Arabidopsis thaliana: one gene and its partner. The protein of the gene in region 2 interacts with the protein of the main gene of each other region in a pairwise test. Each region holds a gene or a part of one and is shown on either strand. Other genes may lie near its edges. The genes, in order: ABCG1 and NDT2.

What was found.
Region 1: the proteins of NDT2 (region 2) and ABCG1 interact in a protein complementation assay, tested with the Arabidopsis thaliana proteins (one large-scale study listed by BioGRID).

Annotation. Positions count from the first base shown.
Region 1 is NC_003071.7:16,428,142-16,436,116, forward strand, and holds ABCG1 (ABC-2 type transporter family protein), read right to left. Parts: upstream 4,417-7,975; 5' UTR 4,256-4,416; coding exon 2,033-4,255; 3' UTR 1,944-2,032; downstream 1-1,943. Other genes in the region: SAC3A (SAC3/GANP/Nin1/mts3/eIF-3 p25 family), read left to right, coding at 1-7, 135-194, 563-693, 976-1,109, 1,205-1,434, 1,535-1,630.
Region 2 is NC_003070.9:8,899,681-8,908,220, reverse strand, and holds NDT2 (NAD+ transporter 2), read right to left. Parts: upstream 4,817-8,540; 5' UTR 4,496-4,816; coding exon 4,414-4,495; intron 4,323-4,413; coding exon 4,227-4,322; intron 4,023-4,226; coding exon 3,916-4,022; intron 3,727-3,915; coding exon 3,678-3,726; intron 3,550-3,677; coding exon 3,446-3,549; intron 3,349-3,445; coding exon 3,254-3,348; intron 3,137-3,253; coding exon 3,048-3,136; intron 2,960-3,047; coding exon 2,865-2,959; intron 2,778-2,864; coding exon 2,403-2,777; 3' UTR 1,766-2,402; downstream 1-1,765. Other genes in the region: AT1G25390 (Protein kinase superfamily protein), read left to right, coding at 1-63, 161-199, 292-531, 614-1,581; AT1G25375 (Metallo-hydrolase/oxidoreductase superfamily protein), read left to right, coding at 5,001-5,261, 5,334-5,481, 5,620-5,774, 5,901-6,083, 6,227-6,302, 6,431-6,502, 6,574-6,659, 6,758-6,831 and 4 more. UniProt on the Arabidopsis thaliana protein: Mediates the NAD(+) import into chloroplast. Favors the NAD(+)(in)/ADP or AMP(out) antiport exchange, but is also able to catalyze a low unidirectional transport (uniport) of NAD(+).

The DNA of each region.
Region 1 (7,975 bases), on a different chromosome or scaffold from region 2:
AGCTAAGGTACATAACTGACTTCCAATAATGTCGAGTGTTATTGCATGTAGGATTCATTTCCTGTTGGAACGTTTATCTTATTTACACCCAATTAGCATGTTTATAATGGTTCCATGTGCAATCTCAATTTCAGGTTTATGAAACACATGCTAGATTAGCTTTGGAGGCAGGGGATTTACCTGAGTATAATCAGGTTGGTACGCTAGCATAGATTGATAGATCAATCAGAATTTCTAGTTCAAATTCGGTATCAAGCACTTTTGTCTTTTTCGTAATTTAAAGAGTATCAACCACTGCTAGAATTTCACTGGTCTCTCATTTTCTAAAAAATAAAAAAGCAACATAAAGTGTTGAATCAGAGAGAAACTTTGCAAAAGGGAGCATAGTTCTGATGACTGGTTACTATGGATTGTGGCTTTTGTTTGCATTGATTCTGCAATATAATGATACCGTTCCATCAAGTCTTGTAAAATACATCTGTTGTCTATTCCTGAGGAGACTATAACTCTTAGGGTATGTATAGCCTTGCTAAATTGATTTCTATTTTTTTTTTTGTTACAGTGCCTGTCACAGTTAAAAACTCTTTATGCGGAAGGTGTAGAAGGATGCTCTCTGGAGTTTGCTGCGTACAGTCTACTCTATATTACTCTACACTCTAACAACAACCGAGAACTGCTATCATCCATGTCCAGGTTAGTAGTTGTAAAGTCCCATCTCTGGGCTCCTTTTAAGCATGATGCATTCATGGTTCATGGGAATTTTTTTTATAAATTAAGGTTTTGTAGAAATATCAGAATATGGTTTGCTACACAATTTCTTTGAGTTAGTAATGGAATTATTAATGTTCTGTCCACCTACCTGATAGTTGAGTTTTTGTAACATCTCTTCCTACCAGTGCAAAGAGGTTACTACTACCTCTTTGAATTGGGTTTGTATGCATGAGATTGAGTAATTTTGTGACCTCTGTTTTGAAGATTATCCGAAGAAGATAAGAAGGATGAAGCAGTTAGACATGCTCTTTCAGTTCGTGCAGCTGTCACATCAGGGAATTATGTTATGTTCTTCAGACTCTACAAGACTGCACCAAACATGAATAGTTGCCTCATGGGTAAGGGTCATATGATACATGAAAACTCTCTTGATATATTTAAACAATTGAATGAGTAGATATGTAAAGATATGGTGAAATTGTTATGTTTGCAGATCTCTATGTGGAGAAGATGCGTTACAAGGCTGTGAATTTTATGTCTCGTAGTTGTCGTCCTACAATCCCGGTCTCATACATAGTCCAAGTGTTGGGATTTACTGGTGCTGCAAGCGAAGGTACTGATGAAAAGGAGACCGATGGTATGGAGGACTGTTTGGAATGGCTAAAAACTCATGGTGCTAACATCATTACTGACAGCAACGGAGATATGCTTCTTGATACCAAGGTAAGTCTTCTTTTGCATTTGCCATATGTTTGTTATGAAACTTGTAGATCCTTATTTTCAAGATATGGATTGAGAACTGGTTGTGTTATTCCTTGTGCAGGCGACATCAACGAGTCTCTTCATGCCAGAACCCGAAGACGCAGTTGCTCATGGAGATCGAAATCTAGATGTCAATGATTTTTTTACACGTACATGATGAAATATTTTTAATGTTTGTTATAGTCTGATGGAAACAGAAAAAGCAAAATCGAAGTTCATCATATCTTTTGATCTTAAGGAGACCAATGAAGATAATCCAAGGCTCTCTGGCTTCATCATCATCATTATCTGCTCACACACACAATCTCAGGTATGACATTAGGTTTATAATACTTGATAGTCTGTTAGTAGGAAACGTTTGGAAGATAAGTCAAATTTGTTTGTAAAGACGTTTTTGTGAATATGGAAATCCTTATTCTTCTATAAGATTTTGAGATAAGGGAATCCAGGAGACATACCTCTTTTTATATATATGAAAAGAAACCATTTTCATTAAACAATTCAAGGAATTACAAACAGAAAATACAAGTATGTTTTGATTTGGGTCTTCTAGTTGTTTTCACCTCCGCTTGTTCTTGCTTCCTAGTAACAAAGTGAAGTAGAACAAAATCCTAAAAAAGAACCCAAAAGCAACTGTGATGAACAAGCAATTCCATTTACTCAGCTGAACCACACCTTGCTGCCTCAGAATATCTGAACCAGTAGTTAAACAAGTCGTGCTCGATATCGTTACCCCGAGGGACTTGCTCACTGTACCAAGAAGCTTCAGCTTCATCACTTCCGGTAGTTCCCCTAATGGCGTGTTGTCGAAAATCTGAACTCCTCTCACAAAACACTTGGTCGCATCAGAGAACTCGTTCTGTAAAACCGCTTCATACGGGTACTTCACCAATGACATGTAATGAAACCAAATCCAGTAATCCGGGATTCGGTTTCTGTTGATGAAGAATCCACTGAACAACAAGAAGTAAGCCAAAATAGCAACGACGATTGTGTAACCCAACATCACACTAGGAACCACACCTGATAGAAACGTGACAAAGGAGCTTCCTGACCAGAACGAGGCTAAAATGATCAGACAGTAGAACAAAAGGCCCGTTAGGCCTCCATCTAAGCCCACTGCCCAATACGTCGTCGCCGCGAAAGCTACAGAGAGGAAGATGAGCGACGGGAATGAGACGATGGCGTGAGAGAGAACGTATGAGGATCTCCGGTAAGCGTTGTAAGCAGTTTCTCTCATGAAGATATAACGTTCCTGGAGAAAAACTGGTAACGCATCGGCGCAAGTGTAGAACATTGTCGACATCGCGAAGGCGAAGAACCCTAACCGCTCTTGAACTCCTTTAGGCGAATTATCTAATCGCCAGAACACGGTGGCGAGAATGAATCCGGTGATAACAACAGAGGCGATTCTGATTCCGAATAGCTCTGGTTGTCTTCGTGAATTGAGCATTGATCGTTTCGAGAGAGTTTTGATTTCGATCCACATTGGATTCGCGAATGCAGGAACGGCTAGGGTTGTGGTGTTGGTGGTTGCTCCGCCGTGAGCGACGGATTCACCGCCGGAAACTAGCTTTCCTCTGCTGATACTTGCGGCGATTGCTTCTTTTAGTGTTAGATTTGGGTACGGTGATGACGGTGGAGTCAACGGTGGTTGACGATTGCTCTGTTTCTTCATCTCTTGCCATTTTTTGTTGAATTCGATTAATCCTCTCGTTCCTCCGGCGGATCCTTCAAGCTCACGGATGAGATCTAACGCAAACTCCGTTCGATTCTCGTTCTCCGGTATCGGACTCCCGAATTCGGTGAAAAAACGTGGAAGACTCGCCGGAGATCCACTATACACGGTGTGGCCACGTGACAAGAAGATTAACCGGTCAAGCAAACCGAGAACACGATGACTAGGTTGATGAATCGACATAATTACGATACTACCACTCTGAGCAATCCTCTTCAATACTTTAACCACCATGAAAGCACTCGTTGAATCCAAACCAGAGGTTGGTTCATCGAGGAAGAGAAGAATCGGATCGTGAATTATATCAATTCCGATGGAAACACGTCTTCTTTCACCACCGGAGATTCCACGGTGACCTTCGTCTCCTATAATAGTTTTAGCCGCGTTTCTGATACCTAGTTGATCAATCAAAGCTTGCACACGAAGCTTCTTTTTAGATTTAGGTAAACTTCTCGGGAGACGAAACTCAGCTGCGAACATTAGTGTTTCTTCAACGGTAAGCATTGGGAAGAGAAGGTCATCTTGCATCACGTAAGCTGATATAACTTTGAGCATTCGAGATTGAAGTGTTTCTCCGTTTAGCTTCACTGTTCCTTTTAAGCTTCCTTTGGCAATCCGATTCGCTAATGCATCGATCAGTGTTGATTTTCCCGAGCCGCTAGCGCCTAGAACAGCCATGATTTCTCCATCTCGTGTCTCGCCAGAGATATTATTGAGAAGGGTTTTAGTTTTTGGCCTCGCCGTTTGAGCTATCTCCGGATCCTCTGTTCTCCTACGTGGAAAGAGATTGCGGAAGTCTAGTTTTGGACGAACAGAGACGTTGTATGTGAGATTGTCGAATGAGAGAACGAATGGAACTGTACGCATGTAACCATCGTTGTAGTCTTGGTTTAAGGACTCGTGAACTGGAGTCTCGTCTCCAATAGCCATTTTTCTGACGTCACTAACGTTCTTCAGAAGTTGCCCTAAAGTTGAATCGTGTATAGAGGAGATGGTGTTTAGCTCCATGGAATCATCATCATTAGCTGCTACAATACGAGCCATAGATACAATAGAAAAACTTTTAAAGAGTGATTTAACAAATTAACGGCCTTAAAACACTCTCATAACGTACTGTTCTAGAAGAAGAAGAAGAAGAAGAAGAAGAAGAAGAAGAGACAGCAGTGTTTATTGTTTAGTTTATGGGACTTTTGTTGGATATGTATAAATCTGTTATGTTACTGAAAACTTATATAGAAGCGAGAGAGTGCATGAAGAGACGTGTTTGGATGTGTGAAGACACGAAGGCTATGTTAAATAAGAAAGTCTGGGTGAGTTGCATGGGAAAAGTATGTTAGGTTGATATTTTGACTGTTTGGATGTAAATGCGGTTTTGATTTATTGTTTATTTATTTGGGGAAGGTGAAGAGTCCACCTATCATATCTAAAGTTTCTTAAAGTAGAAATTACCAAATACGTTTTTCTTCTTCTTTTTCTTGGGGTAACGAGAAATTAAAAATATCGGTGGGAACATATGACACGTGGCGAAATGGGTTTTATTGACTTGTGAATTAGCCAATTAGGTAAAGGGTGTTTGTTCATCTAACATATGCATGGGTCGAGGACTTTCGTGTGAGTTTCCCATAGTTGCCTCCATTAATGCTTATTTCATACTACTATTTTTGAGTAAACAAATGTTCAAATTCTGTGAATTTATGTAGAATTAATCACACACAAAAAATCCAAATATTTTACCGGTGCCCGTCGCTTTTAAAGAAGAGTTTTCAAGTGATTACTACAATGTAGAGGTAACAAACACCGTGTGATGTCTAATGTCTATGCCTAGTTAGAAGCATCTAAAATCTGCCTTTTTGTGAAATCAGTATTCTTGATTGCGTTTTAGCCTTTTATATAGTTGACAAAAAATTTGCATTAGGTAACTAAAAGCAATTTTTAAAAGTGGAAACGACAAATTTTCTACTATGGTAGTCAAAGCTTGAATTACATGATTGATGAAGTAGTTAAAAAGCGAAAATATTATCGAAACAAAAAAGTCATGCAAAATTGATGCCAACTTGTAAATGGTTTGTACATGTGAAATAGTATTAATATATACTCAAGGATCTAGGCATGTAGACTGATGTTTTATATTGGTCTATTTCATAGTCGGTCCAATTAAAATCAAAACGTAAATCTATATTAAATGGTTACCTACAAGGCTAGCTAGCTTAGCTACTTCACTTGCCAAACTTAATTAAAAGCCTAGAACTTAATTGAAAGCCTAACACTATGCCGGAAAACTCTTCGACACGCACATGCAAGGTTCGAGTCAAGTTATCTAAAATAAATATAAGGTTCTAGTCAACTCTTTGTAACAAGAATCTTTTGGACTTTAAACCCTTAATTCAAAATGCTAGTTGTAACTTATCTGCTTAGTCGAGTCGGTTTTGCGAAACTTATATGACAAGAGATTAGGCATCCAAAACCTTATTGAGTAAGTCATAGTTTTTTAATGTGGACAACGCCTGACGCATGTCTACATTACCTATGTGTGCACACATATGGTAATTGGCAACTGCAAGCATAACAATATTATATCAATCATTTATCGCAACCTCCTGACGAACTAGCTAGTTAAGATAGCCTAGCCATTCTAATTTGAAAATTTTGTCTCAGCTTTAAATATTGTGTGGTGTGCCATGTTCTAGGTTCTTTCTATATAGTGTTATACCAGTTTAACTGGTGCATCTTTGGTATAATATGTAATATTAATAGTAAATGCTATTTTTGAAGATCTTTATTTGAATTGATGACCTAATTTGAAAATCATGTTCCAGTGTTTTCTAGTTTCTAACTATAACAGTACTGCAATAGGTTTCTGTTGACACCTTAGTGTAGATTTGTAATCAAATTAAACAAAAAAAAAAGGCTTAGTGTAGATTGGTACGATGGTATTTATGCTATTATGGGCGAAGTTCTGATCACTGAAAGTGAAAAGCTATCCGATAGCCCATAAAATGAATCGAGGTTTTATTTATCCAAAATAAAATGAATCGTGATTTTGGAAGTTTTAAATAGTTAGTAAAAATTTTGACCCCAACAAAAAAAAAGTTAGTAAAATTGCGGGTTGATGTCAGTAGTCAATTCTATTCGATCCCAATGCTTTTTGTTAGCTTGTTTCTTTTGACGGGCCGCTTTTTGGTACCTAATGTAGTAATATCTTAACTTCTTAAGTGATATTACTCTGAATTTCAATCCAAACTTTATTCATAATATATTGTAAAAAGAAAACTTGTCGCATAAATTGTATTGAGATGGGTCAATAAGATGACTTCATTTTTTTAATTGTTAAAGAAGATGATTTCATATTTAATGCGATGCATGTGGGTTAAAGTCAAATGGGTCACCAATTAGGTAATTTATATGTGAAGATATTATCGGTAAAGGTCTAGCTTGTTGAGTTAATGCTCAGGTACTTGTTCATGCACGACGGAACTTGGATAAGATCATATGAATTCGATGTAGGATGTGGAGTCTTTAATATCAGTGGCATCTCTTTCTCTTACGATCGTCCTTACTATGGTGTGCACATAAGAGATTGGTTAAAACATCAATTATCTAGCCAAAAATTCGAAGGATTAATTTAAGAGATTTTGAACAAAGCATGATTGATGTAATTATAGAGAATGTAGCGAAGCTTTTATGAATGAATATAACGTGCGAATAGTTTGATAATGACTCATGTCATTCGCTAGTGTTATTAATTTAGTTAGGCAGTACAAATCAGCGTTATCCGACACAAGCTTTGGGGAAAAGAATGGATTTTTTTCTTCAAAACTTGCTACCAAATTGATATTGTTGGACAATCAATTGGTACACATACTAATCACGAAATCCGCATCATCATGAAAGTCACATAATATTGGTTTCTCTTACCAAATATTCTCCAATCACATTGATTTCAAAACCAATTTTGAACGTAACTCACTATCATATTCCTACCTTTCTAGAAATATAATCCTAGGCGGTGTTAGTGGTTAACATGTGTAAGCATTAAATGTGATAGGGAATGCTTTACATTTCCAATTTCATTTTGACTTTTAGCCGTAATTAATTTTTTGTTGACTTTTTGCCTACTAACTTCTAACTGTATTTCCCTTCCTGTCGCCACGATCAAAGGACGGGAAAGTTCGTTCTATCTATATTACAAAAGCTTAGAATTGATTTGGACCACTAGCTTTTAAAATATTTGTTAAAACACTTTGTAATTACTAGTTAATTACTACGACAGTTTACATGTAATGGTTCCAATAACTAATGACGTATTAGTAGAATTAAACTGTAAATCACTATTTTCGATGTGCTAAAATTATTTTCAATTTCAATTACATGTAAAGGTTATCGCCAACAACATGCCTTCCATTTTTTATTTTTTTGATCAAGACATGTGTTATACACATTTAAACATAGATCATTAATTGTCTAAAACCATACTCCATTAACTTTACCCAAATCATATCAACTCTCAACTTTTTTTTTGTTTTTTTGAACTTCCCTAAATTGGGCCATGTTTGCATAATCGGCCCCTCTGGATAATCGGGGAAGTAAATATCCTGGTTATTTCTAGTTTGAACGGCAGATTTATATATATTTTTTCAAAAACCCTAAATTTTTATCTTCCTTTGAGAGATCACGAGAGGAAACGAACAATGGCAATTTAGATCTTCCACGTTATTTGTAAGAGAATATACTCTCTAGGTTTCCGGACAAGTCTCTAAGATAACT
Region 2 (8,540 bases):
ACAATAACGGTGGAGAATGTACAAAGGTTAAAAACAATTACCGTTGCGTTGGCGCAAACACAGGTATGAACACAATGAAACATGATCATAACTTCTGCAATTCTACTTGCAAAACATTTGGCTATATGACTATAATTCGACTTCTGTCCCTTTGTTGCAGAACCAAATAACTACCATGCGGAGATGAGGCTAGGATTAGGTAAGAAACAGATGTCCTGTTTTCCTCCTTAAGTTTCATCTTTTTCCATGAAATACTCAATTTGAATCAGTTACCTCTCTAATTGTCGATAGGAATAGGAGGATCTGTCATCTTGATAATCATCTTGGTGGCACTCTTTGCTGTCATCCATAGGAATTACAGAAGGAAAGATGGTTCAGAGCTCTCCAGAGACAACTCAAAATCTGACGTTGAGTTTAGTCAAGTCTTCTTTAAGATACCAATCTTCTCCTATAAGGAACTTCAAGCAGCAACAGACAACTTTAGTAAAGACAGATTACTAGGAGATGGAGGCTTTGGCACTGTGTACTATGGTAAGATTGATCAGAGCACGAACACTTTTAGAAAAGTGTGAAATCTCTGTTAAGCTAATCTTTTCTTCCTTTTTGATCTCAGGAAAAGTGCGTGATGGGCGAGAAGTTGCAGTGAAGCGTCTCTATGAGCACAATTACAGAAGACTTGAGCAATTCATGAACGAGATAGAAATCCTCACACGTCTCCATCACAAGAATCTAGTCTCCCTCTATGGATGCACTTCACGCCGCAGCCGAGAGCTTCTCCTTGTCTATGAGTTTATTCCAAATGGCACAGTTGCAGATCATCTCTATGGCGAAAACACGCCACACCAAGGCTTTTTAACATGGTCAATGCGCCTGAGCATCGCCATAGAAACAGCGAGTGCATTGGCTTACCTTCATGCTTCGGATATCATACACCGGGATGTCAAGACTACAAACATTCTCCTCGACAGGAATTTCGGAGTAAAAGTCGCGGATTTTGGGCTATCCAGGTTGCTCCCGAGTGATGTAACTCATGTTTCAACTGCTCCTCAGGGTACTCCGGGATACGTGGATCCAGAATATCATCGCTGCTATCATCTAACAGATAAGAGTGACGTGTATAGCTTTGGGGTGGTGCTTGTCGAGCTGATATCATCGAAGCCTGCTGTTGATATAAGTAGATGCAAGAGTGAGATCAATCTATCAAGCTTAGCAATAAACAAGATACAAAACCATGCGACCCACGAGCTGATTGATCAGAATCTTGGATATGCAACGAATGAAGGAGTTAGAAAAATGACTACAATGGTGGCAGAGTTGGCTTTTCAGTGCTTGCAGCAAGACAATACAATGAGACCCACAATGGAACAAGTTGTGCACGAGCTAAAAGGAATCCAGAATGAGGAGCAAAAATGTCCAACCTACGACTACAGAGAGGAGACAATAATTCCACACCCTTCGCCACCAGATTGGGGTGAGGCTGCACTATTAAAAAATATGAAATTCCCACGTTCACCAGTCTCTGTGACTGACCAATGGACAAGTAAATCAACCACACCGAATACCAGCGCCTACGAATTCTAGGATCCACCAGGTATTGGTTTCTTCTCATTTGTTTCAATGGAACGATATAAGATGAGGCACAGGGTTGTGAAGCAGTAGGTACCGAGAGAATGTACATAGTGACATAACTTGAACTACCAATCACCAATTTTCTATGTCTAATTTTGTCTACTGTATGTAAGATTGAATCAAAAGGTATTTATAAAAAGAAAAAAAAAATTGACAGTAAGAGGTAACTTGACTCACATTCACAGCTCCGTTATAATCTCAGTGGTATCTATCTACTGATTCCAGGCCTATCTATCTTGTTAATCACCAGATCTGATACCAGAAACTAATTTGGATACATTATCGGTATAAAAGGCAAGATTCCCAAGGCATCCAAGAAAAATCTCTCAAACCAGAAACACGTCTTTCCTCGGTGATAGTTGTTCCTTCAAAGTGCTAAAAGCTTATATAACCCGAGGAAGAAGATCCCATTACCTGGTGGTAATTGAAGCGGCAGTTTCAAGAAAGAAGAAGGAAAGAAATCTGTAGTGCCCACAAAATTCCATCCAAAGCATCTACTTTTCTATAAACCCCACAACCTGCAAATTTGCACATAGAGTGTGAAACAGAGAGGGATCTCAACTATAACTCTTAGAATACCACAACGAATACGATCTTCAAATACTCACTGATCATCAAAAGGGCCAAAAAGTAGTTTATTGATAGTTTACACATTTGTTAGAACCACGAGAAAAGGTTACAACTCAATCACCGCATGGGGAAAAATTACGTAGTTGGAACATGGCATCGAAAAAAAGAAAACCTATGAAGCATGGCTTGAGTCTGAAAAAGTTTTATTTGCTTCCAAGAGGGATATGGGGAGTGCTGATCTTATTAGATTGAGTTTGTGATTCTCTCAAACCCAAATCTTTATCTTCTTCTTCTCCTCGTCGGCTAACTAAATTCTTTCTTTCTTCTTCTCTTCTGCGATCATCCGACCTATTAGTCTCTGGTGGCACAACTTGTCGGAAAAACCTAAGCATCATCTCATAGGTTGTAAATGTAATAACTGCTGATGGAGTTGTCCTCAGTAGATTAGTGGCACATCCACGGTACAACCCAGGAATCCCTTCGCTTCTGAACACCTTTGTGATGCAATCAATGACTCCTGAATACTTAGTCTCAGCATTTCTAATCTGCCCTTGTTCTTGAAGCTTCGCCCTAATTACCTGTGGATGTAACATAAAACAGTTTATAGTTAGTTATGAGCTTAAGAGTGAGGTAAAGAGAGCACAAAAGAGAAGAAGAAGAGAGACCTCGTGTGGGTAAGTCAAAATAGAGGCGATCACTTTCGCGATGGAGGAGGCAATAGCAACATTCCCAGGACTCAGATTCTCCACGGATGTATTATCTGAGAACTTTTATAGCTCTGATCAGAAACTAGTTGGGAACAGCACATGATTATGTAACAATATTTTACTGGAGGAATCATGTTTTACCCATCTTTGCCATGTATTGCTTAATTTTTTCATAAGCTGGAAACTGGATCGCGACATGGCTTACTCCCGCCAAAGAAGGCAATATGCCACTGTTCCAATACAGGAAATATAAGCAATATAACTAAAACGTTTAACATAAGCACGAAATATCACAAGAAAAAGGTGTTCAAATTTACGGAACTTTCAGTTTCATATGAGACACTAACCTGTACAACCCTCGCACTCCTTCTTCATGACAAATCCTACTAAATGCAGACATTACACTTTTGTAAGGTACCACACCAGGCCTAATTCCTTGCGTCTGAAAAAACGGTAAGAGGTTAGGTCAAGTATCTTATGATAAAACAAATTCAACATGTCTAGTAAAGCTGAAACCAAAGAAAGAAGACAAAAGTTACCATTAATCTTGTCTTGACAACCCAAAGCGGATTAGTTGCAATAGATGTGGCAGCTCCAGCACCAGCTGCAGCTATCATGTTTGACCCAATACTAAGCTTGCCATCTATCAGTCAAACATGAACAGTTGATAAAAAAGACTTGGTATACGTTATTTGAGCATATATATATGATACTCTTCCGGTTAAGCATAAGCTACAACGCACAAAAGATTTGTAACAAAGGAAAACCAACCACTTGACTGCAGCACATCCTTTAGCTTCCCATAAACTGAGAAGTAGACCTGAGCGTGATACCAGAATAACGATTAAGGAAGGAACTAAAGTTATTCAAAAACAGATTAAAATCGATTAGAAGACATAAAATATCTCCTATAGAAGATCCATAGGAGAATGTTGGGCAAGTAATATCTTTTATGACAAGACAAATTCACTTGAAGAAACAAAGCTCTGTAGAGAACAGTGGTGCTTACAGCCCAATTTGGAAGGAGAGCTATGATGGTTGGTGAAAGCCCTCGATACATTCCCCTATAACCTTCTTCCTTAATTATATTCTTCAGACTTGTAATGATTACACCACCTGATATCACAAACAGATGTAGCTAGTTAACACCTATATCCAATAACTCAAACAAGAGAGAGTCTTGATCAAACATGCAACAACTTAAACAGAAACAAACTACTTGCATTCACACAATCTCTCATACCCATCACATTAGATCTACAACTACATACACTAGTCATACTCTTAAGAAAATTAAGCTCAGTTTGAAGCAAGTAGTACCTCTTTGACCAGAGGCTGGAGCTTCAGGGAGACCAAGAACCTGTAACCTTGTTTTGATCACATCTAATGGACAAACAAAAGTCGCCGCGATAGCCCCTGAAAAAAAATCCCCAAATCAACCAAACAAAACAAAAATTCAGCTACCCGAATCAAAAGACGAACTTGAAAACAGATAATTGAAACTAACCTGCGGTGGCTCCGGCGCCGGCGTTTGCAGCGACTTCTCTAATACTCCGGTAATCAAAGGTAGAGTTCCCATGTTCAATCATCTTAAAACCCTAGAATCTCTCAATTGGGGGGAATCTGACTCAAAATTGAAAACGAGATCCAGCAGTAAATGATAAACCCGGCCACGTGAATCGACGATTATATACAATTCTCGTCGTTCTTGACATTGACCCGACCCGGAGAAAAAATTCGAACGTGTAGACGGGTAAAGGAAGAGACTTTGTTTGCGTATGATTTAGGCGGTCCCTAGTCGAAAGGATCGATTTTTTTTCTTACAGATTCCGAAGAAGCACAGTTGGTTTGAGATGACGTCACACATTTAACAACAACAACACACAACCCAAGAAGAAAGAAAGTTGAACACTTTTTGCCTCTATCTGATTATCAAATTATAATCTGACTGAATCCGGTATAATTCGATCAAACCAAGCTAAACCGTAACCCAACGGTTTAACCGATTTGGTTTGGGTCCGCTTAAACTTTGAAAAACAAGGAAAACTTTCATCGGCGAGCTTCTTCACACTTGTGAATTCCGATTCTGCAGAAATGGGAAATCTGAAACTTGCTTTGATCATCAAGAGCCCTAGAGACGACGTTGAGTTCCTACTCGAGAAGCAAAAACAGCCGGCGAAATTTGGAGATGAAGCTTACGATTCCTTTGTCGATTCCGATCTCTGGGACTTACCGTCAACAGATTTACAGGCTCTGGAAGACGGAGTGAGGTCCGGATTTAGTATTTCTATACTTGACTCATGCTCGGAGGAGGTTGATTTGATGAATTTCGACTTCGAATCCACACTGATTCTGGTAATTTATGAGTTTAGCACTGTCCTCTTTTTCTCATTGTTTCCGCGAATTAATGTTTCCGAGTAAATGCAGCTGCTGGAGAATTTAGGGATTGATATTAGCGATGTAGGAGAGTGGAGATTCGTCAGGTCTGTAGAAGAGCCTGAGTTTGGACCTGACTCTTGTGTCCGTACTTGTTTTATCTCCGGGAAGCTCTTAAATACAGATCAAAGTTTACAAGGTCGTCCTTAATTCGATAGTATACAGTATTAATCTCTCTTGATTTCCACATTTTCAGAGCTTATGGAAATAGCTTCACTCGATTCGAAAGAAACGTTGAGAATTGGAAACTGAAACAAAAAGTTTTGTTTTTGTGCAGACAACTGTAAGTGGATGTCAATGGAATCATGCTTCGACTCTCTTATAGATGTAAAATTGGGCAGTGATCGCGTTGGACCATTAGTACTACTTGGACTTGGGGATGGTTCCCGTCAGTCTATGAAGCATAAGTTGTCATCTTCTCTGGCTATCCAGGTCTCTTGTTGCCATACTATCTAAGTATCTATACTTGTCTTCTTCATCTTACTTCATCAAAGCGGTTCCATCTTATGATGTTGTTCTTTACTAGAATCCTACTTTTTAATGTCTTTATTATCTCAGGAATATCCACCTGGTGTTATGATTGTGCCGATGCATAGCAAAACATTGAAACCTTTCAGGACAACAAATTTGGTTGTGTTTGCTCCAGAAAATGGTTTGGGGGACCATCAAGGGGCTGATTTTGTAGCTCATGGGGATGCGTTGATAGTGGATCCTGGATGTCTCTCTAAACTCCACGTTGAGGTTTGTCCCTAGCTAGTAGCTACGTGTTGTTTTCGCTCTTCATACTATATTCTTTACTTCTTTTTCGAATGGTACAGAAGATCTGGTCTTTACATTTTGCATTTTAAATTATTCACAACTGCATTTTTTTTTGTCTTAACCAGCTCAAGAAAATCGTTGATGCTTTACCTAGAAAGCTAATTGTCTTTGTTACACATCACCATCGTGATCACATTGATGGTAAAGATTTGTTTTTTTTTTCTCGTTCTGCTTTGGTGTGGCTTCTTTTGTTTTTATTTTTACTCTCTTGAAATTCTAAAACATTTTTATGCCATTGCCAATGTTATTCATCTTCATCTCTGCTTCAGGTCTTTCTGCTATACAAGAGAGCAATCCTGATGCTATTCTAGTGGCACATGCTAAAACTAGGCATCGCATTGGTATCATTCTTCTATATTGTTTTCCATTCATAAAATCCACCTTCTAATGTTCGGATACTCTCTGAGTCCAGGTGGTTGGTCTGGTAACTATACCCCAGTTTCTGGAGGAGAAAACATCTATGTCAACGGTCAAAAACTGACCGTCATTTTTGCTCCGGTACCATCCAGCTCTTTAAATCCTTGATAGCTCTCAGATTGGCTGCACTGCTGAAAGTATACATTTTGATAAACTCTTAACTAAGTAAAATACTCCAGGGACACACAGATGGTCATATGTCACTACTTCATACCTCCACTCAATCTCTGATTGTTGGTGATCATTGTGTTGGGTAAGACAAGCAACTAAAATTTATGTTGCTATAGGCTAATTCAAATCAGTCAAATTTGATTAACTCAAGAAATGTTAACTCACCATTTTGGGTTGTTTCAGTCAAGGAAGTGCTTTCTTGGACATCAGGGCAGGTGGTAACATGACAGTAAGTATAAGCATGCTCAGTCTGTTTTCTGTTTTGAATACTTCAATGCAAACGTAGTGTGAGGGTTTACCTGTGGTAGATTGCGATGTTTTCTAGTAGCGTTTTGTTTCCAAATTTGTTGTTTCAATGTTAGGTGTTGGGTAAGATAGTAAATGCACTTCCTTAATTTCCAATTTTCCGTTGCAGGATTACTTTCAGTCGACATATAAATTCCTGGAGCTTTCTCCAAATGTGGTGATTCCCATGCATGGAAGGGTCAATTTGTGGCCGAAACACATGCTTTGTGGATATCTCAAGTATGAATAAGAATATGCTGTAGTGGATAATCTGATGTTTAAAACCCTGTTACTGTTTTGTCTATCAGTTTGATCAGATAAAAGTAGAGTGAACTTATTAAGATATTTGATACATTAATATATAAAGGAATTTTGATGGGAGGGGTGATCTTGTTTTCCAGAAACCGCAGAAGCAGAGAAAAATCAATCCTAAAGGCCACTGTGGATGGAGCTCAGACGTTATATGACATTGTTGCTAAGGTGTACTCAAGTGTGGATCGCAAATTCTGGTGGGCTGCATCATCAAACGTAAGGCTGCATATCGAGAAGCTGGCAGTAGAAAACAAATTACCAGAGGTAAAACTCTTCTTTAATTCCAAATGCACACAAAAACTTACATTCTTAGGAAACATATCACAAAAAGACAAGCTTAGAAAGTTCTTAGCAAATGTTACTAGCACTGCTTCACTACTCATTCTTATTGTATTGATTTGATCCAGGGATTCTCAATCCAAAAGTTCAAAGCAAGTTGCGGATTACGTTTTGCGATACGGTGTACAGTGGGTTATATCATTAGCAAGATTCCGTTCAAGATCAATAAGCCAGGTTTCATTATGTCAGTGATGGCTGCAGGAGCTGGATATTTTCTTCTGTACACATCCAAAAAGAAGAACCAGATTGAATCTTGATGAGTAAGTCATAGTAAAAGATTGTGGGATCTATAAATCATGTAAAAAGTTAAATTTCGTAATATACCCTTTTTAAGAACTTCAACTTCATTATTATTATAGGTAATAAAAACACTTCAAAAATGGAAAGTTGACTACTTCTCAAATATCTACTAGAAATTATAAAGTGTCGTTTGGATTTTTTTTTTTTTTTTTTTGTCGTCAGATAAATATGGAAACTTCTCAAATTCATTAATAAATATATTTTTAGTTGACATTTATCAGATAATTGTATATAGATTCAAATGATTTGAGATTTGTTTCTCGAGCAAGATATGTCACAGCTTATTATACCTGGATCATACTTTAAATTGATCCTTTGAGAAAAGCGAGTAGACTTTGGACTTTGGAGTTTATTTTTATTTTGTGTAACAAACTTTTTCTCTAATGCATATAGATTAGACCTAAGATATTTTGATCAAAAAAAAAAAAAGGACCTAAGATATTGAGGTAACCGAATTATAGATTACTAGAAGCCATTAAATTTTCGAAAAAAGGAAATTGGTATCTTAATTTTTCAAATTGACCTAGTAAAAGTGTTATTAGAAACGGAGAAGAA